2 linked regions of the Cricetulus griseus genome follow. The protein of the gene in region 1 purifies or fractionates together with the protein of each later gene. This does not show direct contact. Links are inferred from orthologs where the notes say so. Each region holds a gene or a part of one and is shown on either strand. Other genes may lie near its edges. The genes, in order: Klf6 and Sp1.

Region 1 (16,154 bases):
GCTGATATTTTTACAATTACAGCAGGGGTTGGCCGGGGGGGGGGGGGGTGCGAGATCCCAAAGCTCCTAATCTGGGTACACATTTAAATTTCTCCTCTTCCACCATTAATTAAATTAAAGGCAATTCCCACTCCACATTTAGCAAAGTGAAGACCTATTGTGAAGTAAAAGATTATACCACAACTAAAATGGAGGTCACTCTTTCTTCTGAACTAAAGACAATGCAATGATTCTGACCCCACAGAAATAAACTGATTTTACTGTCACTACTGACTGGCTTATAGAATCTGAAAATGGATTCCAAGATGCATCTCTCACACTGCATAGTAAAGCTGGGGCCAACATCTCAAGCTACCAAAGGCATTTGTCTGAGACAATATAAGCGGCCTATTTTATCTTAAAATCGCTCTATACATAATGCATTTTGCAGGCCTTTTTCATAAGTCATAAAATCACAGGAGCAGAAGGCTATCTTGACTTTCTGCCCTACTTAGGGAACTAACCAGGGAACTCTGGGAGGAGGAAAAAGTGATTTCAGTGAGTCCATGGGGATGGTTTTCTGGCCTGACTTCCCTTTGTAATCTGCTGATCACTGCTACCCTCCCTGGATAGGAGTCATCCAGGTGTGAGCCCAGCTCCATCCAGAAAGACTAGCCTAGCTCTAACCGATAAGCGAACAAATTTTGCTGGGTTTCTGAAATGAAAGGGAGCCAGCAGTTAGTCACGGTAGAGGCCTCTGTACTTAATAGCCTGCCTGGCTTGAGTGACAGGAAGGAAAAAAAAATGCAACAAGTTTCTTCCTATTGTGCCCCCAAAAGCCTGGGGCTGTTTTTGTCAGGATTTGGAACACATTCAGTACATTTGAGGGGTGGGGGAAGCAGTGTCAAAAGCCTCCCTCTAGCTTCAGGGACAGCTGTGGTAAAGTGGGAAGACAAGGAAGGCAGGGACTGAGCTAGGCAAATGGCCCTTCGAATTGCACAATGGTGATTTCCTGGGGAGGAAGCCAGGCTGAGTAACACAGCAGGAATTTGTTAACAACCCCCTTCCCCCACAGCACCCCAGAAAAACAACCAGACTCCAAATGCTGATAAGAATTCTTTTTATGTTATTCGAATAAAAAATACATTCATACAGAAATATAACAATCTCGCAAAAAACAATTTCAAATAAAATCTTGTAAAACAAAATTTTACAAAAATCTTACAAAGATTCTTTAGATAACAGGGTGCTTCAAAAAAAAAAAAGAAATAAAGAAATTTCACTAATAGAAATTTTTTTTTAATTTCAAGCAAAAGTTCTGCTTGATTGAGGCTCAGTTATCACCTGAACAGAATGTACTTGCTCATTATGAAAATTACAGGCATTGACATATACGCACCCAGCCCCACCCAGTCAGACAACATCCATGATGTTTCATAAGTGAGACGAGCCAGCACAAGTTTTCTTTCTCTTCTGTTTACCTTCTTACTTAATGGAATTGTTATGGATAAGCACAGCAGGGCCAAAAAAGGAGTTTTCCAAAATCCAGCATATCAAGTGCTTGGATTCTGAACTGCCAAACAAAAGTGCATTTTCCCCTTAAGCAAAATGAAACCAGTTCTGTAGAGAAATGTATTCATCAGCCCAGATACAAAAACAAAAAAACAAAAAACAAAAAACAATTACGTGAGCTTTAATCATTGCTCATTTCCAGGAAGATCAAACAAAATACCAGCCCAGCCAGACTCATTCTCATATATATATATTATATATATATATATATATATATATATGAGATCCACACCCAAAAAGTCAGCAGCTGGATGAAATATCAGAAACATCAGCTGTCTATGCTGCGGTATGCCAATTCCGGGAAAGTACTCCTTGAAAAAGCTGGGAGAATCTACATGCTGGAAAAAAATAGTTTCATCTGCATAAAAAGTATTCTAAAAAACAATCCCTGTGATCAGCTTACTCTTAGGTGAGATATTCCAGTAAGGCTGAAAGTAAAATGCAAACCTTTGTGTGTGTGTGAGTCCAGCTGGTTGAGCAGCACTTTGTTCCTGCCCCTTGTGAATGGCCAAAGGTACCCTATTCCAGGCTTGCCAATAATGACTAGCAAAATCAACAGGGTGGAATAGAATCAACACCGAAAATGTCTTCAGCAAATCATTAAATAAAAGATAAAGCCTTTATAAAAGTTAGGTTATAGTTTTCAAATTTTTTTAACCTCCTTTATGGCCATTTTGAAATACTTCTTCACAGGCTGTAGAATTTTCTAGCTAAACATTCTAGTTTCTTCTTAAAAAAATATTTATATATTATCTATATATAATATATATATACACACATACATACACATACTATACACACAAATATACATACACAAGAAATTTCATCCACTTTTTTTCAAAAAAAAAAAAGCAGTATACTTTCAGTATTACCAACAGATAGCTAGACAGGTACTCAAAACTTGTGCCTTTTGAGCAAAATATTGACATTTTTTTTATACTTCTGTATTTTTAATATGTGTGAAAATGTTACATAATAAATACAGCCGGTGTGTGTGATCTGTACAATTGTGCAAGGTCTCTAAAAGAGTCTCATGGTAGCAGAATTAGTTTTCAATTATCATGTCTATTTTTTTTCCCATTTTAACACTGACAGTCAAGTTGTTGGAAATGAACACATGTTGACATGTCAAAGGAGTTTTCACCTATTTGTCATTGTGGAGGATCTTAAAGAGGTGGTTTTTTCTGTTGTTTTTTTGTTTTTTTTTTTTCTTTTTTCCATATTATACATCATACAGTACAATGCCAGGTGAAAAAAGAGCCTTAATTAAGCATGCATCACCCATACCCCTGTATTTGACCCCACAGAAGGGCCAGTTGCATAAGGCACCATTATGAAGGTCAACAGTGCATTAACAGCTAGAAAACCAGAATTAGTCCTCAAGGCATAAATAAGAGAGACATAGCTGCATGAGAAAACGGTTTCTAAGCTTAGTGGTTTGATCCACCCGACTGAGAAAAAACAGTTTATGTTCTTAGCCTAATGTGGCATTAGACCAGTAATTTCCAGGCCCAAGCATTTAGACATTTGACACGCGTCCAATTTCTTCAAAGGGCACCTTAAGATTCTCCAAAAAGTAAGTTCAAATTCTGAGTCATTAAAAATACACCCTACACTGCACAATAGCATGTTGCACGGGGAGTGTCACAAAACAGACGGATCTGGGGGTCGTGTCTTGCCAGGCCTAAATGGCTTAAGGAATCATTGTTTTAAACAAACTGAATCCTATAGCTGCTTATTAATTGGAATCAAGATTGGAGACCCGATTGAAAAATGGAAAAGTTTATAGCTCCCCCAGACCATGCACGACTTTTTTGTATTATAAGGGAAAATGACCACTGTTATTTGTAAATACAGCTTATACAATGGGTTACAAATGAGCTCTGTGTAGCCAGTAAAACAAGCTACTTGACACACTGCACATTCTATAGCTGCACCAGACACCAGAAGGCCCTTTCACACAGGAAAGGGGGACAGGTACTCCCCTTGCCCTTAACACTCACCACTATGGGGTCCTGAGTTCCCACTCCCACCCTCCAAGTATTTCCTTCTTTTTTTTTTTTTTTTTTTTTTTAAATTTTTTTTTTTTGTTTGTTTTTATTTTTTATTTTTTCTAAGGTGCAGACACCCTTCAGGAAATGATTGGTTGTCAACTCATCCCTTGGAATACTCCTCACACACAAAACATTCAAACTGCTTTTTTTTTCTGTCTCTTGCAGTTATTTGCTACCACAAGGGGGAAAAAAAAAAGTCTGCCTCACCATACAGTCGGTAATAGATCCTCAACATACAGTCATCCCACCCATTAACATTCTCAGTGCGCATGCTCACGGCAAAAGGCTCTGGGAGCCTCTCAGAAGGTTAGGAACCAGTGGCGAGGCGAGTCCAGGGTCACCCAAACACCATGCACCGTGGGTGCTATGCCGCTTCTGACATGACTTTTGTAGCCCTCAAAAGACCTTCCAAAGAGAGGCCCCTGGAGGTAACTGGGTAGGAAGCAAAATGGCATGCTTTGGCTGGTACAGGCATCCCTCCTTCCATGGCCGCCTCTCAGCCTGGAAGCCTCTTTTAGCCTACAGGATTCAGCCCTCTGCTCCTTCAAAGGTGCCTCTTCATGTGCAGGGCCAGGTGGTCAGACCTGGAGAAACACCTGCAAGGGCAAGGCAGAAACAAGGAAGTTAGGTTTTGCCGCCTGGATTTCTTGATAGACCAGATACCACACCTGTGTACAATTCCTCTGAGTCCTTGCCAATACTTTTAGGCACAGGGAACCCCAAGGGAGAGAAATACAAATTCCAAGAGGTCTTGGAGAAATAGCTAGGAAGTCCCAGAAGTCCCATGGCAGAGTCTAAACTGGACTCATCCCTCAGCTTTTGAATTTGAAAACTTGGAGCCCATTTTGAAAATCGTCCCCCAGACATTTTTCTTGTAGAAACCTGGCACACAGTTTCCTAAGAGACAGTCAATGTGTCATTGATTTTTGAAAAAGCCCCAGACTTAAAAGAAACGCCAACAAATAACAAGAAACTGTTGGCGTTCTTTCCAGGCTCTATTGCACACAACTACTCGGCTCTGGTAGTCTCCCATGATCCCACTTTTTTTTTTTTTCCTGCGAAGCCCTGACATACCTGTCACAGTGAGAGCATTTAAAAGGCTTGGCACCGGTATGCTTCCGGAAGTGTCTGGTTAATTCATCACTTCTTGCAAAACGCCACTCACAACCTTCCCATGAGCATCTGTAAGGCTTTTCTCCTGGGAAGAGAGCACATGACAAGGCACCATGATTCCACTGACATGATAGGGAGGAAGGAGAAGACTCAACAATATATACTGTGAGACCCCTGAAGCCTACAGACTTCACCATATGTTTTAACAGAGACAGTACCTTTGGCACGCTAAAGGTCACAAGCATAGGTTCTTTCCTAACCTAGCCTGAAGCTTCACTCAAGCTGTTGTCCCAAGGATCCAGGTTTGACAAAATCAGAGTTAACTCATAACAATGACAATTACTCAGATAGCTGACATATTTGCAGGGTGAGGTGTCGGCCCGCAGGACCCACAGCCGTGCTGAGAGTTGAGATTTATTGCTTTCTCCATGGAGACATCCCCCTCCAGCACAATCTGGTTCCTTACTCATTTCCCTGGGGAATGAGTCGTCCATCCGGGACCTTCTACATTGCTGCAAAAACTCAAGTCATGAGTTTCTGAGAAACCTCATCCAGAGACTTTCAGATCAGTTTCTAAATGGCAATCAAACAACCAAATGGACATCACCCCCTAGCTAAATTATAACTATGAATTAAATAAAATGCTACCTATGAGTAAAAATAATGCTAAAGCCAACCTGAGTCAAAACTGTCTTGTCCTGGGAACACTCACATCCTCTCCCAAGTTCTGTGCCTTTTCAGGACCCTGACTTCATCTCTCCAGAATTTGATTATCATCTCCATAAGGTAACAATTTATGACATGGAGCTTTCCTGCGATCCTTCCACTCATATCCTGTATGTTGTACTGGTAGTTTCAAACAAACAAGAACTTCATTCTAAGTGGTGGCATTGAGTTAAGAAAGCCCTTGTTTAAAGTGGTTGTGTGACACAGTATTCACAATAAATGTCCCCTGGTCAACACTAGCAAACTCCATGCTGCCCAAGGACCCTCTGTCCTGACCCTGGACTTACATGACATAGAATGAGGAGCAACCCAACATAGCACGATGCATGTACAATGGGGAAATGAGCACCGAGTGGGTGAAGGTTTGAGTGTCGATGGAGAATGTGATCTGGCCTCTTGTTTAATCTGAAAGCATGACCCATTCATCTGATTCAAATGTCCAGTCTTTTAAGATTCTACTCTGAACTCCAAAAAGACCCAATTCCTTGGTGACAGGAATTAAGGAAGTGAGGATTTCCTTGCTTGTGACCACATCCTGAGGAGCCCTGGCTCCCTCCCAGGGCTGGTGCAATTCACTGGCGCCCACCAGGGGCTGACCTCCCAGGCCCCATGAGGGGACTGACCTGTGTGAGTACGTTGATGTGCTTTCAAGTGGGAGCTTTTAGTGTAAACTTTCCTGCAGCCGTTGAAGTGGCATCGATGTACCCTCCTCCTGCCATCTGGGGAGGCATCGCCACTACCCTTGTCACCAGACTTCCCAGAAGTTCCACTTCGAACCTTCCCTGGTGAGGGTAGGTCTCCTGGCCCACAGCCCCATAGTTGAGAAGATTCCCTGTTCACTTCTGGAGAAGAAGGAGGTGTGGAAATGACGGAGGAGCTCAGATTTCCTGAACTGACTAAGACTTCACCAATGGGATCAGAGGTAAATTTGGTCGTGGGTGAAAGTTCCTCAGAACTGTCTGAAGACTCGCTGCTGACATCAGAGTTTAGGCTGTTGGTCTCTAAGTTATAATTAAAGCTGGGGCTGATCAGAGAGTCTTCTGGGGGACTAGAAGAAATCTTCAGTTCTGATTCCTCCTTCTTCTCTCGAGCTAGAATGATTTTGGTCCACAGATCTTCCTGGCTGTCAAATTTTATCTCAGAGGCTGACACGTAGCAGGGCTCACTCTGAAGATAGCGTTCCAACTCCAGGCAGGTCTGTGCAGAATGAACCACAAAAAGGCACGTGATTGTTACGACTACTGAAAGTGGAACTGAAAGCACATAGAAAAAAAAAAAGAAAGAAAGAAAACATGCAACAAAGAACAAATAAATTATTTCTGGGCCACGTACTATGGGCCAAAGTCTTCTGTAATGGGAATCTATTTCCTCATGAATGCTAGAGAAAAGCTGTTTCTAGGAATACGAAGGAAAAGCAGAGGTAAAGCCTCTCTTGGTTTCTTCAGTGTTGGACCAATGGCCACAATGAGTGATGATCACTGGGCCTGTTTTGTTGTTATAGTTACAAGTGTTGACATTGCTAATGAGGATCCTGGTAAACCACACAAAGAAAATCAGCCTTCCACACATCACACCCCCTCCCACCAACCTAACAGGTTTAACCAGATCGTTTGACATTCTCTAGAACCAGGAGCATCACTGAGAGCCCCAGCCATCCACAAGTATTCACACAACAGGACAGAAAGATTGCACAGCACACAGTATGGTCTGAAGACCCCCCCACCCCTTAGGGACACAGCTGACAATATAGGGCTGGCTGTAGTCAGAGAGCAGACAGCAGATCTGTCTGTATTCAGGGACATCAATAGATTGGAAGAGAACCCTCCCATGTCCTGTGTAACTAAGACCTAGGATATATATATATATATATACATATATATCTACGTATATTTTTAAATGTCATTTCCCAAGTACAGGGCTGTGGATACCACCAAACTTTAATGATTTCTTCACTGTGGTCAGAAGGAAACAAGAAACCTCAACAACACAAGTGGAGGAATTCTTCCAGAATGGCCATCTGCTATTGTAAAGGATGGAAAGGGGAAATTACTCCCTGGCCCTTCTGGGAGTCCCACAATGAACAAGGACTTTATCTCCTGGCCAAGAGTACAACAGTATGAGTCATCACTCCTATTTCTTTCACGCAATGCCAAAGGAGACTTCCTTTTGAAATTCTGACCAGCAGCCAAATAAGGACCCGGCTCAAATATACATGCAGTGTGCCATGGACAGGGTGCCCCTTCCCCAGCCCCGCAACCAACCTTTCAAGGAGCTACACAACTGCAGAGATCAGCATCCCCTCTCCCCACCATTTCAAACTTTCTAGCCACTGGAAAAGAAAAATGGTAGGAAACATTTTAGGATTAAATTATGTCGGCCCTGATTTTTCACTAGGCTTGCCTGCATGCCCATATAAGGATGTCTGTGCCGCTGACTATTCCATTCTACAGATAGAAATTTCGAAACCAAACTGCAACAAATTGTTATCAGGGTACAGACCATCTTGAGCACAGCCTACCAGCAAAAGGGCTAATGCTTACTAAACAATGCCTTCTATCACACTATACAGAGATCCTAATCCCTCCCTGTAGATGCTTCACACAGCAAGCAGGCACAAGTCAAAGGGGGGGGGGGTGGAGTGGGGGGTTCTTGTTTTCTCTTTCCCCCCAAAATTCGATGTCTGTTACAGTGCACACAGTATTCTGAATCGAGGTGGTGATACATATTATTGATGTTCCAAAGAAAAGGCGAGCACATTTATGAAGATCTTGTTAAACTTTAATCAACTGGCTAATTTAAAATCTCCATTATGCTGATGAGCAGTGGGGACCTGATCCCAGCTCTCTGGGAGTTTAAAAGGCTCTGAAGGGGACCAGGAGCCAAGTCTGGCTTGTTGCCCAAATCCCAAATGCCTAAAGGAAACTACTAAGATCAATTTCAATCACGTCCCAGGGAGCAGCTTCTTTGAGGAGGAAAAACCAGGAGGGGGAGAAGAAGGCAGGAGAGGATTGTGAACAATTAAGCCGGCATGTGGAGGTTTCAGCCAGCACTTCGCTTTTCATGCGTTTTAAAGGCAGGGAGGTTGTGAAACCCACAGAATATATTTCATCTGCTAATTCACTTGGAGGAAAAAAAAAAAAAAAAGCCAGCCCAGAAGGGTAGAGAGACATCCACCAAACCATCGTTTTAGAGACAATGGTAAAAAGTGTTCGAGACTGTCACGCCATTAAGGGAATCCTAAGACTTAGAATGGGGGGCGGGGGGGGGGGCTTTTATTTCCGTTGCCCCAAATTCTAGTTCCATTAAAATGCCGGAAATCGAGATCTTTTTCTTCCCCAAAGTAAGACCCGAAGCAATTAGGAATGGACTCATTGTCATATGACTGACAAGTCACTTGTGTGCAAACAGCCCCCCCCCCCACACACACCCGCCGCGCAGTCAACAAGAAAAGCAGGTAAGAAAAACAAGGCAGACATTGGCGAATGTAAGAATTTATCCAGAAGGAAAAGAAACTGCAAATGGCCTTGAGTTAAAAAAAAAAAAAGCTGCTGCGTTCCGCAGGCGAAATATTATACTTTAAAACACTGGGTGTACAAACATCAAAACAAAACAAAATCTTTAAATCAAATCTTTTGGCAGTAAAGGCAAGCTCGTTCATATGACAAAGTCCAGCTGTGGAGTTTGGAGCTGGTACAAGCCCCAAACTTGTGCCAACGGCTCCGGTCTGAATTCGGCAGAGAAATCTTGGGTTCCCTCCCCTCAGGTGGATGCCGCTTGGAAGCTCGGAATTAGCAAAAACAGAAAAATAAATAAAGAAATAAAGAAAAACGTTCCGGGAACAAGAGCTCGCCTCCACACAAATGACAACTCTAGTCCTAGCCGCCGAAGGCTCGCTTTACTGTGCCTTCATCATTTCAGGCAACAGAAGGGCATCTTAAGATCATTACTTTATTTTTTTAAATTAGGCAAACGCTAATCATTATTTAAAAGATGCACTTCCAAGCACACACCATCTTGCCTGCGCCTCCGCGAGACTCCCTTCTCGGCGCACCGGGCACGTGAAGAAAAAAAAAATCCGTATTTACCTGTTGCCAATATTCCTCCAGGGACGGCAGAGCCGAGAAGTAGCCCGTTTCGTGAACAATCTGTAGTTCCTGGAAGATGCTACACATTGGGAGCACATCCATGTCGGGTTGGAAAAGACAGTCCTCGCTGTCGGGAAAACAGGGAGGAGAGCGATCAGGAGTCGGAGCAGAAACTGTCCCCGGGAGCGCAGGTGAAAGTTTCATGCAAACTGGATGGCGCTGCAATCGGACGCCGGGTCCGGACCCTCCCGCAGCCCGCAGCGCGCCGAGCCCACGCAATATTTGCAAACAGCGGACTGACTGCAAGCGTAACCCCTGCAAAACTTCCCTATTCAAAGCTCCGCTGCCAGCCTCCCCCCTCCTCCCCCGCTTGGCTCCCCCCACTCCTCCTCCCCCACGTGACCAGCTTGGAGCTCCGCCCCCAGTGATACCCAATCCGGCCGCGCCTGTCCCGGGGGCAGCGCGACGATGATGTCAGCTTGCACCAATCGCCGGTGCGGACACAAGGCGGCCCCGCCTGGCGTGACCGAGCCTCTCCATTACGGGCCTCTCTATTGGTGCAATTCGAACTCGGCCTGAGTTGATTGGGAAGACGACTCGCAGGCTATTTTTAGCAGGGTATAAATGGCGAGGGCTACGAGGCGCCGAAGGAGTCGGCGCTGGGAGGTGCACGGCCGAACGCCGCAAATGTGCGGCCGGAGAATGTGCGGCCGGAGCTGGAGGAACCTGGCCGGGGCAATCCAGCACCTGTCCCCGCCGCCCAGCCGCCCGGTTCCACCTTCTGATCCCGTCACCCGGACCGGGACCCAGCAAAACAAGGGAGCTGATATCTGCCCGGTCCCCTTATTTCACTTCATCCGTCCCTCTGTGCTCGATGCCGGTGTCCCCTGATCCTTCCCTCACCCTCCATTCTGCTTGGTCCCCTGATTTCTCTCTTTGTCCGGAATCCTCTCCATACTCAGAGATACTGAGGTGGCCGGAGTGGGCGCAAACAGGCCCGCGGATCCCTGTGTAGTGATGGGACCGTAGGAACAAACAGCAGGGGAACTTGGTGCACTAGAGTCCCTGTATGGTAATTTCTGTCTGGATCCCTGGGAGGGGGCTGAAGGGATCCCGAGACTCGCTCGTTCTCCAAAATAACCCACACTTGGGAGCACCCAGAAAGAGCCTTACCTGACCCGTGGGTTAGTTACACTCAGATTCTCTGGAATGAATTTTATCTATTGGAAGTTGTAAGCGCAGCTTTTAAGATAGCACCCCAAACAACCCGATTGGGCTTTAGCAAGCTCACACGGATGACCTGGCACCACCCCAAGTTGGATTGCTAGGCATCTCCAGCTTAAAAATGCCCTTGCGCTTGATGCACGGCTCTCATTCTAATATGATACAGATTCTGCTGTATATGGGGTAGAAATCTGTTTATCTTGCGGAAGGCAGGCTCCAAGATGCCTCACCAGGTTAGCAGGCTTTCCCGAGGATGTGTAAACAATTTAAATTAAGCTGAAGCTGACATTAATTTCTGTTCATATAAATTGTCTCCTAAAGCACACCATGATGTTCATTTAAAAAATGAAGACTGAGCAACTATATTTTTGAGTAAAACAACAACAACAGCAAAAACCAATTATGACAACTTCAAAAGTAATACTTAATGAATAGTATCCTTTTAAACATAAACTATGTAAAATAATTTTAGAAGATTTTTCGTATTTAATTTTAGAAGTCTAAACAGATGCATGTACCAGAACTGTAAGCTTATAAGGTTCTTAGGTGGGCATACTTAATGAGTGCTAAGTTGGGAAAAGCTATCTTTCCAAAAAAAGAAGAAGAATGCGTATTGTTTGGAATACATGAAGGTGACCATTGGCCTTCATTCATCCCATTTACCCTAGTGACAAAGAGGCAAACCTGTCCCTCTCTGAGTTATGTGTTTATATTTTGTTTCCAGGAAGGGAATGGAAATGGCTTTAGGACACACATACATAGGGTGAACTAACTTCCCAGCGAAGCCCTTATATGGACCTAGAGCTTTATAATTAGTAGCAAGCTTATGCCTTTGGAATTAACAAAGGAAGCAAGAATCAGATCAAATCTATGAATGAAAGCCAACATGACAGTACACATGGTAAAGGATGAGGTGAAAGTATATGACACTAAGTGAAGGCCTTAATAAAGCATGGAGGAGTCTGTAATTCCTTAGGGGTGTCATAATGAAGATATTGAAACTTCCCTTGCTGGATAGAGAATTAGTCATCATTTTCACACAGTCCCTTACATTCCTATAGAATGCCAAAATTTCTCCTTGTCTCTTACAAGCACTGCCAGTTAAATAGAAGATTTGCATAGTTTATTTTTACAAGACTGGATTTAATTGGACATTAATAGAGATACAATCAAAACTGTGACTTTCAGAAAAAAATTAGTGTAAAAGTAGAGTACATTCATCCCCTGAATGAATTCCAAGTAGAATAAACTGTGTGACTTCCTGCTGCTCCCATTAGGCATTCAGCACATATTATTCACATCCTGTGACTGGCCAGGTACACATAGATTTACAAAGCAGGCAAAAGTCCATGTCATAGTTGGGGTAAGGGGCAGGGCTCCAAAGACGTTTGAATGCTTGTATTCCTGAGCATTTAACTATTGATGGGAAAACAGTTTTGGCTTCGTATGCAAGAAGGACTATCCATGTGATCCGAGTATTACAAATGATGTCTGATTTTTTTTGTGGGGGGCGGGGTTTCGAGAAAGGGTTTCTCTGTGGCTTTGGAGGCTGTCCTGGATCTAGCTCTTGTAGACCAGGCTGGTCTCGAACTCACAGAGATCTGCCTGCCTCTGCCTCCAGGGTGCTGGGATTAAAGGTGTGAGCCACCAACACCAGGGCCAATGATGTCTGATTTTTAAACTGCCTAACAGAAACACATAGGTCAGAGGCATTCAGATGGGGAAGTATGGATGGAAGAAAAGCATGACTTTAAACTATCCATAAATTTGGCCTTGGCCAGTATATCTGAAGAGAAAAAAAGTTCATCTGGTCTGATGAAAATATCCATAGAATCTCAGCTGTTTGAGAGACTGAGGCAAAAGAGCAAGGCTTGCCTGCTCTACAGAGTGAGTTCAAGGTTAGTCTGGGAAACTTGATGAGACTGTTTCAAAAGTCTTAAACAACTTTTGAAAACAGTAAGAAAGGGGCTGAGGATACACCAGTGGTAGAGTGCTTCTGGGAATCACAATGCCTACCATCCCCAAACCACTATACAAGCTGTGGCTGCCTATGTTTACTAGGGGGTCCCCAGTATCTGGTTTTGTGCTTCTTCTAGTGTATCTTTCTGTGCACATATTTCCAAATTCCTACATTCCTACTGTGGCTGGAGGCAGGGTGTAAGCAGGGAAGAGAGGAGGCTACTAGGGGCAGGAGGGTATGTCCTCAGATCTGACTTTAGGTCAACTCAGCATGAGGGCTCTGGGACTGGGGCCTTCTAAGCCTTCCTGTTCCTTCACCCAAATAACTGAGCTTTCTTGTATGTTCTAAAGGAATGATGGTGGTCATTGAACGTGAGTTTCTTCTTTTCTGATCAGGAAAGAAAACTGATGGCTGGATATAGGACTTGGGTTTAAGGGGGTGAAATCTTGACCTTCAACAGCCTTTGCTTCTTTTGAAAGAAGGTTCTGGGGATGTGACTGGATACCCTTGCAATCTACCAGCATGTTTACCCACCTCATGAACACTGGGAGTTGGTGGGGGACTGAGAGTCGGCATGTCAAAAATCATAATGTATTAAAACCCCCATTCTATATAAGCCATAAGTTGAAGGCAATATTAACTCATTGAACGTGCTCCATTTTCAACTTTGCTCTTGATATTTATGGCTGATGAGGCATTAAAATGATATCCACTGTGCAGATCACACAGCAGATAAGAAGCAAATTTGGGCCTGGGGCTATACAGTAACTCCAGTAAGAGCTCATTCTGTCAGGAGCTGAAGATCTCTACTCACCCCTACCCCCCATCTCTTACCCACCCCCCACCCCCCTATGCTGCCCAATCCTAATAAGTGGTGGACTCCTGGAGGATGATCCCTTTCTCACCCACCCTCATCTGGTTCTCTCTCCCACAAGCCAGTCTGTGTGGTGGCATAGTCCTAAATGCAGAGGGCTCAGCTTCCCTGGCACTCTGGGCTATTTCCTCACATGCCCACTGTGTCCATGCCCTTTTTCACTTTTGTTCTGTCTCTTATGCTTCCATGCAGAGCTCCTTCATTTCTCACCATGAAGTTCCCTTTGTTGCGTTTTGTAGCGAAACCAATGGTTTAAAATGAAGTTCATAAATAGACTGAGCTTTCAGTTCAGAGATCCGTAGATGGTAACTAGGTTTTGACTTTCTTGTTCACCTAGGAAATTCAAAGGGGGTCTTACAAGACTAGTCAAAGGTAATTGCAATACTACCCCCCTAATTATATGGGCAAAGACCATTCTCATGCATGGTTCAGAAGCCAGTTTTGTTTGTTTGGAGCATATTTAACAAGATATCCCCCTCTCCCACAGCAACTTGATTTGTGTTTGTTTCATTTGATTGTTTCCTTGAGTTGTTCTGTAAAAATCCCATCTTTAAAAGTACACGTGAGTTGTTGCATGATGGGTGTGTTGAGTTAAAATGTACCTCTTCATCTACTATCTCATTTCCAGATGGTTCTAGTCAAAAGCATGAGTTGCCTTCTCCCCATGCATTTCCCTCTCAAAAAATAATGAACTTTCCTTTGAAAATGAAAAACAAAACTTCACTTACTGAGTGATGTGTTAGGTAAAGTCTCACAAATATTCTATTTGTTGAAATTTAAACTTTCACTCTTTAAAATAACTGTCAGTACTGAGATAGCTAATGAAGGAAAGTGCCATACTAGTGGCTTCCAGTAAACATTCAACTTAATTTGTTACCATATGACAAGGACTGCAAGGGCTTGAGTATTGGCAGGGAAGTGTGTTTGTGTTTATGTCTAGTGTGTGTGTGTGTGTGTGTGTGTGTGTGTGTGTGTGTGCATATGCAAATGTATAGATGTGTATAGGTGTATATGTGTTATGTGATTATGTTTGTATATCTGTCTGCATGTGTGTCTGCATATAATTATCTGTGTGTAAGTATTTATATACATATAAATATAATATTTGTTTTAGTAGCCTTCTTTGTAAAACCAATAATGAGATGAAACATTAAAACAACTCACTTCACAAGTGACTGCGGTTGCCTTTTTTTACTGCAGGGTCCTGGGTGCCTGGGTTTGTTTGTGCTGTTTTTCCAGTGTATGTCTAGCTCCCATTTCTCAATTCCTGCATTCCTACTGTGCCTGGAGACAGGGTGGGAAGCAGAAAAGAGAGCAGCCTCCTAGGGGCAGAAGGGTATGCCTATAGATCTCGGTTAGGTCATCTCTGTGCATGTGGGCTTGGGGCTGGAGCGTCTTGACATTTCCCAGCTCTTCCCCCCTCAGACACTGAGTTTTCTTGTAGATGGCATGGTTGGAAGTGACTTTCTCCTCCCCTGGTCAGGCAGGAAACCTGCTTCCTGGTTTACGGAACTTGGATTCAAGGGGGATCCTGCCTTCTACCAGCACTGAAGAAGCACTTCTTTTGAGAGAAGATTCTGGAAATCTAGAGGAAGCCCTTTCAGTCTACCTTACCTACCCTTCCCCTCCTCGTAAACACCTGGTGGAGGCATGTGGAGAAAAGCTAGAATGTGAGGCTGGAATCCCATTTGTCCCTGCTAGCCCAAACACAGCCAGTAAGGAGTTCTCATAGTTTTCATTGTTTCTGTCTTTAGCAGATATCTCCTCTCTCTTTATCAAAGCCACCCTCTCTTGGTGTCTTAGCCTCTTCCAGATTCAAGTCATGTAAGGACTTTCTGACCAGCATGCTTGAGCAAGTTAAAGAAAAGTTATAGGCTACCTGACATGTTTTGGGACTTTTCTCAGTTGTTAAGAGTAGAGATCCAGAAGTCCAACAGGAGAGGAAAGTCCTCAAGTCATGATGACATGATGACTGAACTCCTTAAAATACATAGCAGGCTATAAAAAGAAAGAAAAAAAAAACAGTAAGCAAAGGGGGAGAGAGAAATGGGGAAAAAGATATACACCTTACCTCATACTGTAGACACATTGACGATACATACTGAATAAATGAAAATGATTACATCATCATCTTCCCAAAGGGGATGGCATGGCAAATGGACATAATTCTAAGGGCTTGGGCATTATGCTGGACTTTGCCCTGTCACATGGCAGAATGCACTCAGGCAGTACCCTGGGCAGCCCAGCTGCTACTACTCTACAGGCAGGTGCAAGGGACCTTTAAGAGAAAATCTGCACCCACTTCCTCTCTCTTTCCCACTGTTCCTCTGAAGGGGCAGACAGGATTTTTTCTATGTCTTCCACCCTCCCCCATTTATCTTCTTTCCCTCCCAGCTCCTTTCCCTTTCTAATAAAATTTCTTACTTAACCTCTGTCTGCCTGGCATGTTTGTTCCTCACCTGCCATGGAATCCCCCAAGGTCCTCATCTCACAATATTGTAACAATAATACCATGGTTTGAAGCTAAAGCAACACCTCCTTGGGTGGAAACAGAAAACAATATCACC
Region 2 (15,632 bases), on another chromosome or scaffold:
TATAAGTTCTCATCTGCACGTAGATATATACAGGCACAAACACCCATTCATACACACAGTCATACACAATTTACTTTCTCTATCAGATCAGGGTAATTTTTTATTGCAGGTCTCTTTAAATATTGGCTAACAGAAAACCTATCCCCAACCTAATAGATTACACACATACACACAACCACTTCCACACTTCCTCACAGTGAAAGGCTCTCTGACAAGATACCAGAAGGTCAAGAGAGACAATGCTTTAATGGCTGGGCCTTGAGGACAATTCTGGTTGCATTTAAGTCTCGGTGTCAAATGCACTGAGTTTCCCTGCCGATATAATTTTTGGATCAGTCACTTCTGGAATCAGGCCATGGAAAAAGCAGGATAATTTCTCCCGATCTCTCCTATAATCCACAGTGGTAAGACAAGATTTCTTTTTGTTCTGGGCCATCGTTCCCATGATTGTGTGCTTCCCTTTCCCTTACAAACACCCACGTACATATAAGGAAGAGTTAAGGGGGAAAATTTTTAAAGAACTATTCTTTTGTCACTGGCACAAGTTTTGCATTCTACAGCATGAAAAGTCAGAACAGATTCGCTGGCTAATGTTCCTTAACATTCAAACATTAACAAGAACTACAGAAATGTTCAAAAGAGGAAGTGTACTTCCTTTCAGTGTGTGAACTCAGAAGCCCCTACATTAAGGCTTAGGGCTATTTGGAAGACAATGATACTGAAATCCAAATAATTCCAATAACTGAGACTGAGTTATTTTCTTTTCTGAGAACATCTTTTTCCTACTAAAAGCTGCTGCCTACTATTTGACCATTTTTTGACAGTTTATACACACTGATCCCAGATTATCTCTCTCCAAGGGCCTTTTAAACAATTCCACATAGAGACTTCTGACTCCGGATGTTTAGAGCAGCTAACAAAGGGAAATGGTTTTGACTCTCCAGCACTGAGAAGGTGCCTGCGTCAGTAGTAATAACACTCCCCATAGCTACTTCAAGCATCAGGCTGCACTTCAAGGCTGTCCATTCTGCAGTTGGAACTAAGCTCTTTAAAATAATGAGTGAAGGGCCTAATTCAGAGATCATTGTCAAAAACAACACAGGAAGTGATCATGTGAGAGAAGGGGAGAAAAAAAAAAGACTGAGTCAGGAAAGGAGCGCAAGGAGCTGATCCCAAATAAAATGACAAAAATTAAGGAAGAAGACACATTATGTATGTATATATGAACTAAAAGCACAGCATTTGCTTACTCTGGTGGGATGCCAGGACAACATTTATAGAAAAGCTTGATGTGTCATGATAAGGCTCAGCCATTGAGAAATAAGGCAATATTAAAAAAAAAAAAAAAATGACCAAGGTATTTTTTGGTCACAAAATGGTCTTTTTTCCTCCTCCCAGCCAACCCCTGTGAAAGCATCTCTATATATTTTTTATATATATATATATAATATAGAATCTGTTTTTGTTAAAAAGTATTTCAATGATCATATATATTTATCAAGGCATGATGGCTTTGGGGGTGGGGAGTGGGGATCCATCATGGGAGAGCTCAGAGGGGAAACGCAGGAAGGGGAGGCTGGGGTAAGAAGTGTAAGAAGAACCTGGGATGAAATAAATGCTTATCAAAGGGTGGCACCAACAGAAATTTCACTAATATTTTCCATTTTCAAGAAGTCACCAGTGACAGATTGGTGCCACAATCCCATCTCTTCTCTTGTACCCTCCCCCAATTCTTCCCACCACCAAGCACATTAATGCCTCATGGCTCTCTCTTCCACATGTCTCTTGGACCCATGCTATCTTGCATCCCAGGCTTGGTGGGTATTGGCCCATATGTCTCTGGCTCTAGGTATCTAATCTCAGAAACCATTGCCACTGATATTAATGGACTGTAGCTCTGTCACCTGCATGACGTTGATGCCACTGTTGGCAAGACGGGCAATACCCTCTGGACAGATGGCTTCCATGGCTACCATATTGGTGGCAATAAGGGCTGAAGGAGTGGCAGTGCCACTGCCTTCTGAACCTGCCCCACTGTCCAGGGGCAAAGTGCCCACACTCAGGGCGACACCTGGGCCTCCCTTTTTGTTCTGATGGGTCTTGATATGCTTTGACAGGTGATCACTCCTCATGAAACGCTTGGGGCACTCAGGGCACGCAAATTTCTTCTCACCTAAATAAAAAAAAGCAAAAGATAACTTAGTTCAAAAGTAGTCAAAATAAAGATTGGGTTGATATTTATCCTTCAAATCCCACTTAAGGGGGGGGGGCTAGAAAGATGGCTCAGAGGTTAAGAGCATAGACTGCTCTTCCAGAGGTCTTGAGTTCAATCCCAGCAATCACAACCATCTGAATGAGATTTGGTGCCCTCACTGTATATATAATAAATGAAAAAACCTTTTTAAAAAGTCCCATTTAAAATGGAGCTCCTTCTTAAAACCTTCCAGATTAATCCAAGTGCTCTTTGAGACACACTGTTTCACGTATAAATTGTTCAGGATTTTCAGTTATTTCATAGGCATATCATGTCTTCTCTTTGTCTACTACTCTTTTTCTCTTCCCTTAGGTCATACCTGTATGTGTGCGTTTATGTCTCTGAAGCTCATCTGAACGTGTGAAGCGCTTCCCGCAGTATGACCAGTTACACATGAATGGCCTCTCCCCTGTATGCCAGCGCAAGTGTGCCCGGAGATGTGAGGTCTTGCCATATACTTTGCCACATCCTTGAATGTGACAAATGTGCTGTTTCTTTTTACCAGGGTCTCCAGAGCCTCTAAGAATGAGAACATAATTAATAATTAATAATTAATTTATGGAGACAGAAATTAAGGAATCAAGAAGTGTCAGCAGCAATTACCTAACCCATTCTTTTGTTTTGGATACAGATCTCTCTATATATAGCTCTGGCTGTACTGGAACTCCATAAATTGACCAGGCTGGCCTTGAACTCAGAAATCCACCTGCCTCTGCTTGCTTAGCGATGGGATTAAAAGTGTGTGCCACCATACTTGTCACTAAGATTTACATTTTTTAAAAGTATTTTTTAGCCTGGCAGTGGTGGCACATGCATTTAATCCCAGCACTTGGGAGGCAGAAGCAGGTGGATCTCTGTGAGTTCGAGACCAGTCTGGTCTACAAAAGCCAGTTCCAGGACAGCCTCCAAAGCCACAAAGAAACCCTGTCTCGAAAAAACCAAAACAGTACTTTTTTAAGCTGGACAGTGGTGGCATCAACCTTTAATACCAACACCTGGAAGGCACTGGCAGGTGGATCTCTGTGAGTTCGAGGCCAGCCTGGTCTACAAAGTGAGTTCCAGGACAGCCACGGCTACATAGAAAATACAGTGACTACAAAGAAAAGAGTAAGACTTAAGAGAACTGTTACAGGCTAGTAAGAAAAAAATATTCAGGAGGAAACAAGACAGCTTAGCAGGTAAAGGTTCTTGCCACCAAGTATGACATTAAATTCAATCCCCAGAACACTTCCCTCAAGTGATCCTCCAACTTTTTATATGTATACCATGATACACAGCTTCCCAACTAAGCAAATGAATCTTTTCAGGGAATCAGATGCCCTCTCCTGGGCTCCACAGGTTGTATCTGCATGCACGTGGCATACATACATATATTCAAGAAACATTCATATACACAAAATGAGCAAATCTCTAGAAAATTCAGTGAAAGAAAAATCTTGGTGGAAAAATATACATCTTGATTAAGAGATGGGCAGTGATGGAGCACCTTTAATCCCAGGACTTGGGAGGCAGAGGCAGGCAGATCTCTTGAGTTCAAGACCAGCCTGGTCCACAAGATAGTCAGGGCTACACAGAGAAAGCGTGACTCAAGGAAAAAAAAAGCACCTGGAATAAATATATTTGTCTTTTTGAGTGATAACAGAACTGTTAAAACATGTAATTTTCCTAAAGCTACGGGGGTGGGGTGGGGGGGGACTCATTACAAGAAGCAGGTTTCTATTTATTGCTGTTTTGCAAACAATCTTTTTCTTTTTTCTTTTCAAGACGGGTTTTTTGTATTGCCTTGGCTGTCCTGCAACTCTATCTGTAAACTAGGCTGGACTCAACTCACAGAGACCCACTTGCCTCAGTGTTGTCCCCCACCCCTATCCCCACCACTGGAATTAAAGGTGTGCACTGCGACCTCCCAGCTATAAGAAATCTTACTGAAACAACAGATACTTGGTATTAATCATTAAGCTATCTAGCTCCATCTGACTTCTCTAGGCCAAAGAGAGATCAATTATAGTCCTAAATCTATATATACATGTATTTGTTTTGTTTTTGAGCTAGGGTTCCACTGTATAAACTCTAGCTAAACTAGAACTCACTATGTAGACAAGGCAGGATTGGAACTCATGAAGATCCACCCAACTCTTGAATTAAAGACATGTGCCACTATTCCTGACCAGCCTGAAATCTTTTTCTAAGATTTATTTATTTGATGTTTTGCCTGCATGAATATTTGTGGCCAAAGAGGCCAGAAGAGGGTGCCAGATCCTGTGGAACTGGAGTTACAGATGGTTGTGAGTTGCCACTTTAGTTCTCTGCAAGAACAACAACTGCCCTTAAATACTCAGCCATTGCAACCCAGCACTTGGGAGGTGGGGTCAGATGCTGCAAAAGGCTAATATAGTACATTTGAGTAGGTCATATTATGCAGCTCTTGTTTTTAGTTTTGATTTCTTATTGACTCTGAATGCTGGGCAAGTGTTCTACCACTGAGTTCATCTCCAGCTTGTGAGTTTATTTATTTACTTACCTATTATTGAGACAATGCCTCATTGTATAACCGTTGCCCTGGAACTTGTAGACCAGGTTGGCCTCAAACTTAGGGTTATCCTTCTGCCTCTGCCTCTGCCTCTGCCTCTTGGGTGATGAGGATTACAGCTACGTACCATTATGCCTTGTTCCATGAGATTTTTTTTTTTTTTTTTTTTGAGACAGCCTATTTTATTCAGTTCATGTTGGTCTTGAAGTGGCTTTTGGACTAGACTTATTCTCAAACTTGCAATTTACTGTCCATACCTTCCAAGTGCTAAAGTAGCAGATGTGAATCACTAACAAACCTGGCTTCATTGACTTTCTTGCATACTTTTTTGAAATGCAAGTGCTGTACCACAAAGCTGCATTTTACTAGCCCTTGTTCTCTTTTTATTTATTTTCATGTGCAAGAGCAAGTTCCAGGATAGCCAAAACTACATAGACAAATCTTGTCTCGAAAAACCAAACAAACAAAACAAACCTGAGCCATTACTCCAGGCCTAAATCTTAAGGGTGAAAGAAGGAATAGAGGTTCATCCTTGTAATCTCAGCTACTTGGGAGAATGAGGCACAAGAACCAAAAATTCAAGGCCAAGCAAGGATATTGTAGCAAGAACCTGATTCCATGTACAATAAAATAAGGAGCTGGATGTGGTGCCTCACATATTTAGTCCAAACACTGGTGAGGCAGAGGCAGGAGTATCTCTGTGAATGTGAGGCCAGCTTGGTCTGAACAGTGAGTTCCACAAGAGTCAAACATTGTACCCCACCCCACCCCCAAAAATAAAATAAGGACTGTTGAGTGTGGCAGCATGTCTTTAATCCCAACACTTGTGAGGCAGAAGTAAGAGATCTCTATGAGGCTGAATGGTGAGACCTTGTCTCAAAAACCTCTGGAGGCCAGGCTGGGCTCAAATTCAAGAGATTCGCCAGCCTCTCTGCCTTTGAGTGCTAAAATTAAAGGCATGCACCACTACACCTAGCCAGAGAACCAAATATAAAATATATTTCTGATTTCACCTCCCAAGTGCAAGGATGTTGTGTAGCAATATACTCTGGGGTTAAAACACACTATCTCCCATAAAACAGAGGATGAACAACTCAAAACAGTTTCAGGAAGCCCCTGAAACTGATCAGATTCACTAGGTCCCTTCCAAGAGTAAAAGATAAAGCCAGCCAGCCATGAGTTACTCTCAGACAAGCCAAGTTGCAAGGAGAAGACTCTCAAGAGCCCAGAGAGCTGCCTTGAAGGGGCTTAGACCAACTGATCTGGACAGAAGGGATACTGGCTGCCTGCATGCTCCAGTTCTTCAGCTTTTGTAAACTCATCTATGCTGGAGTAGGCTTTGGTGATTCAGACGTCTTTGAGTCACTTCTGCTCCTTTTCTTTTCTTTCTTTCTTTTTTTTGTGGGGGTGGGAGGTTTGAGACAGGGTTTCTCTGTACTGCTTTGGAGGCTGTCCTGGAACTAGCTCTTATAGACCAGGCTGGTCTTAAACTCACAGAGATCCACCTGCCTCTGCCTCCCGAGTACTAGGATTAAAGGTATGCACCACCAATGCTCAGCCTTCTACTCCTTTTCTGTAAGTAGCCCCTCACCCCATATTCCTTTAACTAATCCCAATAAAACTCACTGGTTCACCAAGTTGGGCTTTGATGCTACCATACTTTGGTCTGTCATGGGATCCTTTTTAGGTCCAAATGGCTAACTGTGATGCCCATTAGCACATCAAAGCACATGCTAGCCTCCAGGTTCTCTCAGCATAGCAAATACCTGTTACAGAGTCCATCCTGGCTCTTCTTACCCCACCACTACCCCTATACTTCTCCAGATCACTTTCCTCCCAAGCTTCTCGCTCCCATATAACCCTGTCATTTCCAATATGCACTCTCTTGCCTCTCACATTTTATCTTCCTTTCCCACTCTCTTCCCCGCTTCTCTCTCATGGCTGGGTCCAATCTATTGGCCATGTTTAGTCTACTACTTTCTCTCTCCGCTCTGGACTTTGACTGTACTCTCCTCATGTCTACAATAAAAACCTTCCCCTCAACCATACCTTGGAGAGGTCATGTCTGCACTTAATGCACCTGGTGTCAAAACCCTCACTTTATACACTCTCTATACAATACACTCTGGGGTTAAGTAGATACATGTATGTGTTGCATCTCCAGACAACATGCAATTACAGGCATGTGTGACCACACTGCTTTATTAAGTGCTGTGATTCAAACTCAGGACTCCATAAATGCTAGGTAAGCCCTTTACCAACTGAGCTACACACCCAGCCCTCCAATGTTTGTTTGTTTTTTTTGTTGGGGGGGTTGTTTTGGGTTTCTTCGTTCCTTTTTTTTTTGGTTGTGAGCCTACTCTTTAACGGCGGAGCTACTACCCGCCACACCCACCCACACCCACCCACACCCACAACCACACACACACACACCTGCTTTTTTTCTTAAAGACAGGGTTTGTCTGTGTAAAGCTCTGGCTGTCCCAGAACTCACTTTGTAGACCAGGCCTGCCTCTGCCTCCCAAGTGCTGCTAGAACTAAAAGCATGCGCCACCAGGCCCAGTTCCCTGTGTCTTGAATATATATATATGTATGTATGTATGTATGTATATATGTATATATGTATATATGTATATATTATAATATTATATATATATATATATGCCCTTTCCCTCTTATTTCTAAGTCCATTTTTAATTTATTTACATTCAAAAACAAAACAAACTCCATATTCAAGAGAATGAACTCACCTTCCTTCACTGTCTTTACAATAGGGGCATGTACATGCTTCCCGCCGAGTCCTCCTACCAGCTTGGGGTTGGGGATCAGGGCTGTTCTCTCCTTCTTCTCCACCTGCTGTCTCATCATGCATCCCATCACCACCAGATCCATGGAGGCCAAGTTGAGCTCCATGATCACCTGAAATAAAAAGAAAAGGAGAAAGGTGGCAGTGGACAGGATAGAACAGCTATAGAAACATCACTGATATTACATTCACAGTACCAACTTTTAATTACAGTTCTTTCTTCCATGAGTGGTGTGTGTAGTATGCTTGTCCAAGCCAGAGGTCATCATTTAGAAATCAGTTCTCTTCCACCACATGGGTTCTAATAATCAATCTCAGGCTATCAATCAGCCTTGATGCGAATGCCTTTATCTGCTGAGCCATCTCACTAGCCAATATGGCACCACTGCATCAAGATCTCTTTTTATAATCTGACATAAGGTCTTGCTTTGCCCAGGTTGTCCTTGAACTCCTAGGCTTCTGAATCAACCTCCCAAGTAAGTACCTGAGGGACTCCCAAGTGATTACAGGTTTAAGTTTACATAGTAGGTCCAGACTAACCTTGGCTAAAGAGTAAGACCCATGTCAAATAAAAAAGTCAACATGACATCAACATATTGGAATTTGTTCCCCATCCCTTTTAATAACAGTTTTAGAAAAGAACAGTTTAATCTTAAAATATGGTACTAGTTAAGCAATGAGATAAATTAAAGATTGGCCTTCCTGTGATGAAAATAACTAGGAAACCAGAGGCAGTTTAATGACAGTCTTGGGCAAACTGAGCTGTTACCTCTAGCATCCATTTCTGAAACAACTATAAATGTTATATCTTTTTATTTTCTTCAAAGTAAAGAAGTGTAGGTAAAGCCATGACCTAAAAGTTAAAACCTTGGGAATTACTAAAGCATGATGAAATTAAAATGTCAGTAACTGTAAAACAAATCACCATTCTAGGAACTGAGCCAAGGGCCTCCACATAGTAGGCAAGCATTCTACCAGTCTGAAGGCTAGTTTCCATATATTTCCAAAAATTCTACTTGGGATTCTGGTTTCTTATCTGTCATCTTGCTGTGATAAGTACCATGACAAAAAAAACAACTTGGGAAGCAAAGGATTTATTTCATTTTTTTGGGGGGGGGGTTTCTTTTATTCTTTTGTTTTTTTAAAGATTTTATTTATTATGTATACAACATTCTGCTTCCATGTGTATCTGCACACCAGAAGAGGACACCAGATCTCATAACCAATGGTTGAGAACTACCATGTGGTTGCTGGGAATTGAACTCAGGACCTCTGGAAGAGCAGTTGGCGCTCTCAACCTCTGAGCCATCTCTCCAGCCCTTTCTTTGAGATTTTCGAGACAAGGTTTCTCTATAGCTTTGTAGGGTGTCCTGGAACTGGGTTTATCTTATCTTACAACTCTTAGATCATACTCCATAATGAGGGAAATCAGGCCAGGAACTTGATACAAGAACCGAGAGACAGGATTGGCTTAATCTCCAAGGCTTGCTTATTCTGGTAGACTATCTAGGACCACCTATCCAGGAGAGACCCATCCCCCAGTGTGCTGGGTCCTCCTGTCAAGAAAATGGCCTACATACTTGTCTACAAGCAATCTGATGAGAGTATTTTTAATTCATTTATGTGTATGAGTGTACTGCATGTATTTGGGGTGCCAGAGAGATCAGAAGATAACATGGGCAACTTAATGAAAACCTCCTCTCCCTTCCTTTCCCCCCCAAAAATGTGAGGAGGGCTGAGAATATATGACAGAGCAAGCATAGATCTCTGAGAAAAACAAAGAAAAAAACACTGGGCATCATAGGGAGAAAAAAACCTAGGCATGGGAGCTGGAAAGATGTTGACTGCTCACAATTGCCTGTAACTCCAGTTCCAGGGGATTTGATCTCTATGGGCAGCAGGCATACACTTGATACACAAACCTTTTTTTGAGACAGGGTTTCTCTGTGGCTTTTTTTTTTTAATGTTTCCTGAATCATTTATTTTTTAAATTTTATTTATTTATTTATTACATATACAACATTCTGCTTCCTTGTATACCTGCACACCAGAAGAGGGCACCAGATCTCATAACAGATGGTTGTGAGCCACCATATTGTTTCTGGGATTGAACTCAGGACCTCTGGTAGAGCAGTCAGTGCTCTTAATCTCTGAGCCATCTCTCCAGCCCTCTCTGTGGCTTTGGAGGCTGTCCTGGAACTAGCTCTTGTAGACCAGGCTGGTCTGTGCACACCAATGACTGGTTATGATATACAAACTTAAATGTATTTTACATAAATACTTAAAACTGGTTCTCTGGGACTGGGTGGTGGTGGCACACCCCTTTAATCCCAGCACTTAGGATGCAGAGAGAGGAGAATCTGATCACTGTGAATTCAGGCCAGCCTGGTCTACAGAGGGAGTTCCAGGACAGGCTCCAAAGCTACACAGAGAAATCCTGCCTCAAAAAACCTAAATAAATAAATACCAACTAGTTCTCTGGCCATGTGTGGTGGCCCATGCCTTTAATCTCAGCATTTCAGAGGCAGAGGCAGAGGCAGAGGTCTCCGAGTTGTTTGTAGACCAGCCTAGTCTACAAAGTGAGCTCCAAGACAGCCAGGACTACACAGAGAAGTCCTGTCTCAAAAAAAAAAAAAAAAAAAAAAAAAAAAAAAAGAAAAAAAAATCCAATTATTCAATTACACAAGAAAATTTTTGAACGGCACCCCCGCCCCCCAAAACACAGACACATCTTTACTCCAGTACTAGGTAGACATATCTCTGTGAGTTTGAGACCAGCCTGGTCTACAAGAGCTAGTTCCTCCTAAGCCTCAGAGAAACCCTGCCTCAAACCACCACCCCCACACACCAAAAAAAAAAACAAAAAAAAACAAAACAAAAAACAAAACAACAAAAAAAAAAAAAACAAAAAAGTCTTTGAATATTCATGCTGAGAAGAATGGAATATGGCTGTAATTTCAGCACTAGCAGGCAGATATGCAGGAGGATAGTAAAACCAAAGCCAGTCTGGGCTATAAAGGGTTATCCTGTCATGCATTCACACACAAACAATAGTTTAATTGGTGACTGTTGGGGTGATATACTTTTTTAAATGATCTAACAAAACTTTCCTGAAGATCAGAGTGAAGAGCTAGTCATACGAGTTAGCCACAGAGGCCAGGAAGTGGTGTCCACACCTTTAATCCCAGCACTGGGGAAGAGACGAGGCAGGTGGATCTGTGAGTTCAAGGCCACCCTGGGCTATACGAAATTGATCCAGTCCAAAAGAGAAACAGCCAAGTAGTGGTGGCTTACACCTTTATTCCCAGTACTTGGGAGTTACATGCCTTTAATCCCAGCACTAAGGAGGCAAAGATAGGAAGGGATATGGCTAGGCAGAGAGAGGACAGGATCTCCCCTTGATCTGAGCACTGAGATAAGAACTCTAGTGGCTAGTTGCTCTGCTTCTCTGATCCTTCAGCTTTCACTCCCTGATAGCTTGACTCCAAGTTTTTATTATTAAGGGCAAAGAGAATTCATGCTACAAATTGTGATGGGAAGCATTATTTTTCCCCTCCCTTTTATATTTTCCGTAATTTTTTTTTATCAGTGAAAATATCTATGGAACCAAAAGTTTAGACTGTATAATTCTCTCTTTGGTATATTACCATTCCTTTTTTTTTTTTTTTTGGTTTTTCAAGACAGGGTTTCCCTGTGGCTTTGGAGGCTGTCCTGGAACTAGCGCTTGTAGACCAGGCTGGTCTCGAACTCACAGAGATCCGCCTGCCTCTGCCTCCCGAGTGCTGGGATTAAAGGCATGCGCCACCACCACCACCAGGCTACCATTTCTTTTTTTCTTTAAATTTTTTTTTTGGTAGATTTAAAAATGGGTAGTTTTCCATATGGTTAAGTAAAAAATGTTAATGGCTTTCACCACTAGATGTCACTGTGACTAAACGTTATACCACCCTCCTACATAGTTAAAGACAAAAAGGAGAAAAGAGGGGGTCTGAACAAATTTTAGGAACATAGATATTTTGGAAGTCTCTCCATTAAATCTAAATATTAATTTCGGTTTTGGTAATGTTCCCTAACTGTAAGTTTTGATAATGTTCCCAGCTAAAGCTTGAGTTTTGTCATCATCATGAATCAAAGAGTACAGGTTAGAAAGGAAGGTCATGATGCCGAATACCCGTAATTCCAGCACTCAGAAAGTGAAGTGACAAGAATATGGTCAGTCTGAGGTCACTGTCACATACTGAATTCAATGACAGCCTCAGCTACTCAGAGAGTAAAATAAAACAAAGCGTTTGAAAAACCTGTCTCAATTTCCCAACTGCTAGGATTCATAGGCAGAAGCCACCATTCCTGGCTATTGTGTACTTTCAGCATCAATTCATTCTCTAGCACAATAGCAGCACATAAATACAAGTAGAAATAGTTCACAAGCCAGGCATTGGTGGCGCACGCCTTTAATCCCAGCACTCAGGAGGCAGAGGCAGGTGGATTTCTGTGAGTTCGAGGCCAGCCTGGTCTCCAAAGCGAGTACCAGGATAGGCTCCAAAGCTACAGAGAGAAACCCTGTCTTGAAAAACCAAAAAAACAAAACAATAAATAAAACAAAAAAACAAAAACTTAAAACACTTATGAACTAAACTTCCAAACTGAACAAAAAAAACTGTCATTTATCCATTCCATACCCTCTATAATTTCTTCTCTAGGTACATTCTTAGAGAACATGAGCACAGTATCCCTGAACAATATCTCATTGGCGCTTGTAATACTCTGCTTTCATTGATATCCTCTTCTGACCTCTTCAGGCATTCAGGCACAAATGTGGTGTACACACATACACACAGGTAAGACATACACATAAAACAATAAATCTTACTGAATAAGACATATTTTAAAGTAGCTGAGGAAGTTACGTAATGTTAACCTCTGGTTTCTGCATATTTCTACACACCAACAGAGAATGTGGGTGTGCTCAAGTAAAGCTCTACAGTTAAAGAATGCTCCCAGCTCAATCATGTGGACTAGATTCAGGTACCAGAACCCACATAACAATCACTGTCCTGTGCACGCTTGTAACCCTAGGTCTTAGTTGGACAGAAACAAGAAGACAGAGGAAGTTTTCAGGTTAACAGACTAGCTGACAAGACAAACACAAGTCCCAAGTATGTCTGGGAAACCTGCCTTGAAAATAAATAAATAAAATGTAGGGAAAGGAGAAGGCTAAAGGAAGAAAGGTCGGAACTTAAATTCCCTCCCCCACCCTCAAAACACACACACACACACACACACTCTCTCTCTCTCTCTCTCTCTCTCTCTCTCTCTCTCTCGTGGTGTTTTTGTTTTTGTTTTGTTTTGTTTTTGGCTGTCTGGAACTTGCTCTGGAGACCAGGCTGGCCTCAAACTCACAGAGATCCACCTGCCTCTGCCTCTGCCTCCTGAGTGTTGGGATTAAAGATGTATGCCACCACTGCTTAGTGAAAAGTTCCCTCATCTCCTAAAAAACAAATCTTTGGGGGCAGGAGAGTTGGGTCAGCAGTTAAGGGCACTTGCTTCAAAAGACCAGAATCCAAATGGAGGTTCACAACCTCCTGCACCCAGCACATATGTGACACACAAGCATACATGCAGGCAAAACACTCATAAACATAAAATAATAAAAATAAATCTTATGCTGGGCGGTGGTGGCACATGCATTTAATCCCAGCACTCGGGAGACAGAGGCAGGTGGATCTCTGTGAGTTTGAGGCCAGCCTAGTCTACAAGAGCTAGTTCCAGGACAGCCTCCAAAGCTACACAGAGAAACCCTGCCTCGTAAAACCAAATAAATAAATAAATAAATAAAATCTTAAAAAAAAAAAGCAAATCCTTGTTATAACCTAGGTATTTCCTGTTGAAAAAAAAAAAAAAAAAACTTCAAACTAATTCAGCTAAGGCAGGCAAACAAAAATTAGGCAAATCCGAACTTGTATAACAGGTAATACTGCCCAGTTTCTATAAACAACTCACAGCCTAAAAAACATGGAAGCACATGTAAGGGGGCTGGAGAGATGGCTCAGAGGTTAAAAGCACTGGTTACTCTTCCAGAGGTCCTGAGTGTAATTTCCAGCAACCACATGGTGGCGCACAACCATCTGTAATGAGATCTGGTGCCCTCTTCTGGTGTGCAGATAGACATGGAAGCAGAATGTTGTACACAAAATAAATAAATAAAATCTTTAAGAAAAAAAAAAAAAAGCTTTCTACAAGGGGTTCTGAGAGACAGCTAACAGCTCCATGGCTAAGGGCACTGGCAACTCAGAGGATCTGGGTTCAATTCCCAGCATCCACACAGCTGTTCACAACTATCTATAACTCCATTCCAGGGGATCAGACACCCTCAGACATATAAAACACTCGTGCATATAAGATAAAAATAAATAAATCATTTTTAAAAAACATTTACACAGAAACAGTTTTCATTGGGTGTTGAGGTTAAACCCCTAATCATGGCAACTTGAGAAGTAGAGGCTGTAGGATCAGGAGTTGAAGTTTAGCCTCCACTACACAGCTAGAGGGCAACCTGTGTTACATAACACCCTGGAAATAGAAGAGAGGAGAGAACAGAAAGAACAGACTTTTTTTTTTGTTCCTGAGACAGTTTCTCTGTGGCTTTGGGGGCTGTGCTGGAACTAGCTCTTGTAGACCAGGCTGGTCTCGAACCCACAGAGATCCACCCGCCTCTGCCTCCCGAGTGCTGGGATTAAAGGTGTGCACCACCACTACCTGGCTGATAATACATATAGAAATGCTTCTCATATGATTTTTTGGTACAAAACGCTAATTCTGGCTGATTGTGCATGCTCCTATCTGTAATCCCAACAACATTCATTGGCTGAAGCAGGAGGACTGCCACAAGTTTGAAGCCAGCCTGTACTACATAGTATGTCTCAAGCCAATCTAAACTACAAATTAAGACTCCATCTCTGAAAAAAGAAAACATTTTTACAATGATTTCTAATGTTCACAGTCACTAGTCGAAAACACAAATTTTTTAAACAAATTAGGTCGGCAATCTGACCCCAACTTTAGTCAGACTGCTGGAAAACCAATCCCAGTATCACATTCAACTTAACTATTAGGACAAAACATTTTCCTGACCCTAATAAAACTTAGAAGATGTAGAATTTTTATTTTTAGTGCCTGAAATTTTCTTCATGAGTGAATTATAGACATCAAGATAAATCTGTTTATTCTCATGCCAAAGCCCAGCCCTATGTTCTCTCTCTGTTAGAACTCCTAAACATTCAACCAAACTCAATTTTTTAAAGCTGCCCCTATGCACATCCAAAGCAAGTTTTCAGTGTTTGACAGAGGCTGAGAGGGGAGAGATTTGCAAATTAAGAATATAAAATGAGAGAAAAGGCTACTGATAAAAAGACAAAGGTGTTGGTTAAAAAAGAAAAAAAGTCTGTGGTTTATTTAAAAACAGAACAAGCCAAACTAACAAAAAATAACTCTAGGAATCTATGTATCATTTCATTTTGGAAACTAACCTCAGTTAACAGGGTGGTCCCTTCCCTCACTACTACCACCCACCAGGAGCAAAGAATGAAAAACATGGGACACAAAAGTATGAGTTTATCTTGGTTCTAGATTTATGCCTTTGCTTGGGTATTCAGCACGGAAAGAATAAACATCAACAAGAAACCTTAAGCAAGCATTTTAAAAGTTATCTTTTATGTTAAATGTAAACAGACAAAATGAATGAGCATGAGGAACACTATAGTCTTCAGTATCTCTCATGACAGGTTTTCTGTGTTGCCCTGGCTGTCCTGGAACTCGCTCTGTAGACCAGGCTGGCTTTGAACTCAAGAGATCTGCCTGCCTGACTCCCCGGTGCAGAGTTTAAAGGCATGCCACACCACTGCCAAGCATTTTCTCTTTTAAGAAAAGAGTCATTGTGTATGTAACCCTGGCTGGCTTGGATTATATAGATCCAGGTTGACCTCCTCAGCCTGCCTCTGCCTCCAGAATACTGTAATTCAAGGTATGAACCCAAATATGGCCCA

The links.
Region 2: the proteins of Klf6 (region 1) and Sp1 purify together in Homo sapiens (affinity purification with western blotting, with the first as the bait; 3 studies listed by BioGRID). This does not show direct contact. The link is inferred for Cricetulus griseus from reciprocal best matches to the Homo sapiens genes KLF6 and SP1.

The regions. Positions count from the first base shown.
Region 1 is NC_048596.1:230,513,405-230,529,558, reverse strand, and holds Klf6 (Krueppel-like factor 6), read right to left. Parts: upstream 9,857-16,154; 5' UTR 9,734-9,856; coding exon 9,530-9,733; intron 6,642-9,529; coding exon 6,068-6,641; intron 4,804-6,067; coding exon 4,680-4,803; intron 4,202-4,679; coding exon 4,150-4,201; 3' UTR 1,083-4,149; downstream 1-1,082.
Region 2 is NC_048595.1:398,792,367-398,807,998, reverse strand, and holds part of Sp1 (transcription factor Sp1), read right to left. Parts: intron 7,704-15,632; coding exon 7,535-7,703; intron 2,774-7,534; coding exon 2,574-2,773; intron 2,174-2,573; coding exon 1,860-2,173; 3' UTR 1-1,859. UniProt on the Homo sapiens protein: Transcription factor that can activate or repress transcription in response to physiological and pathological stimuli.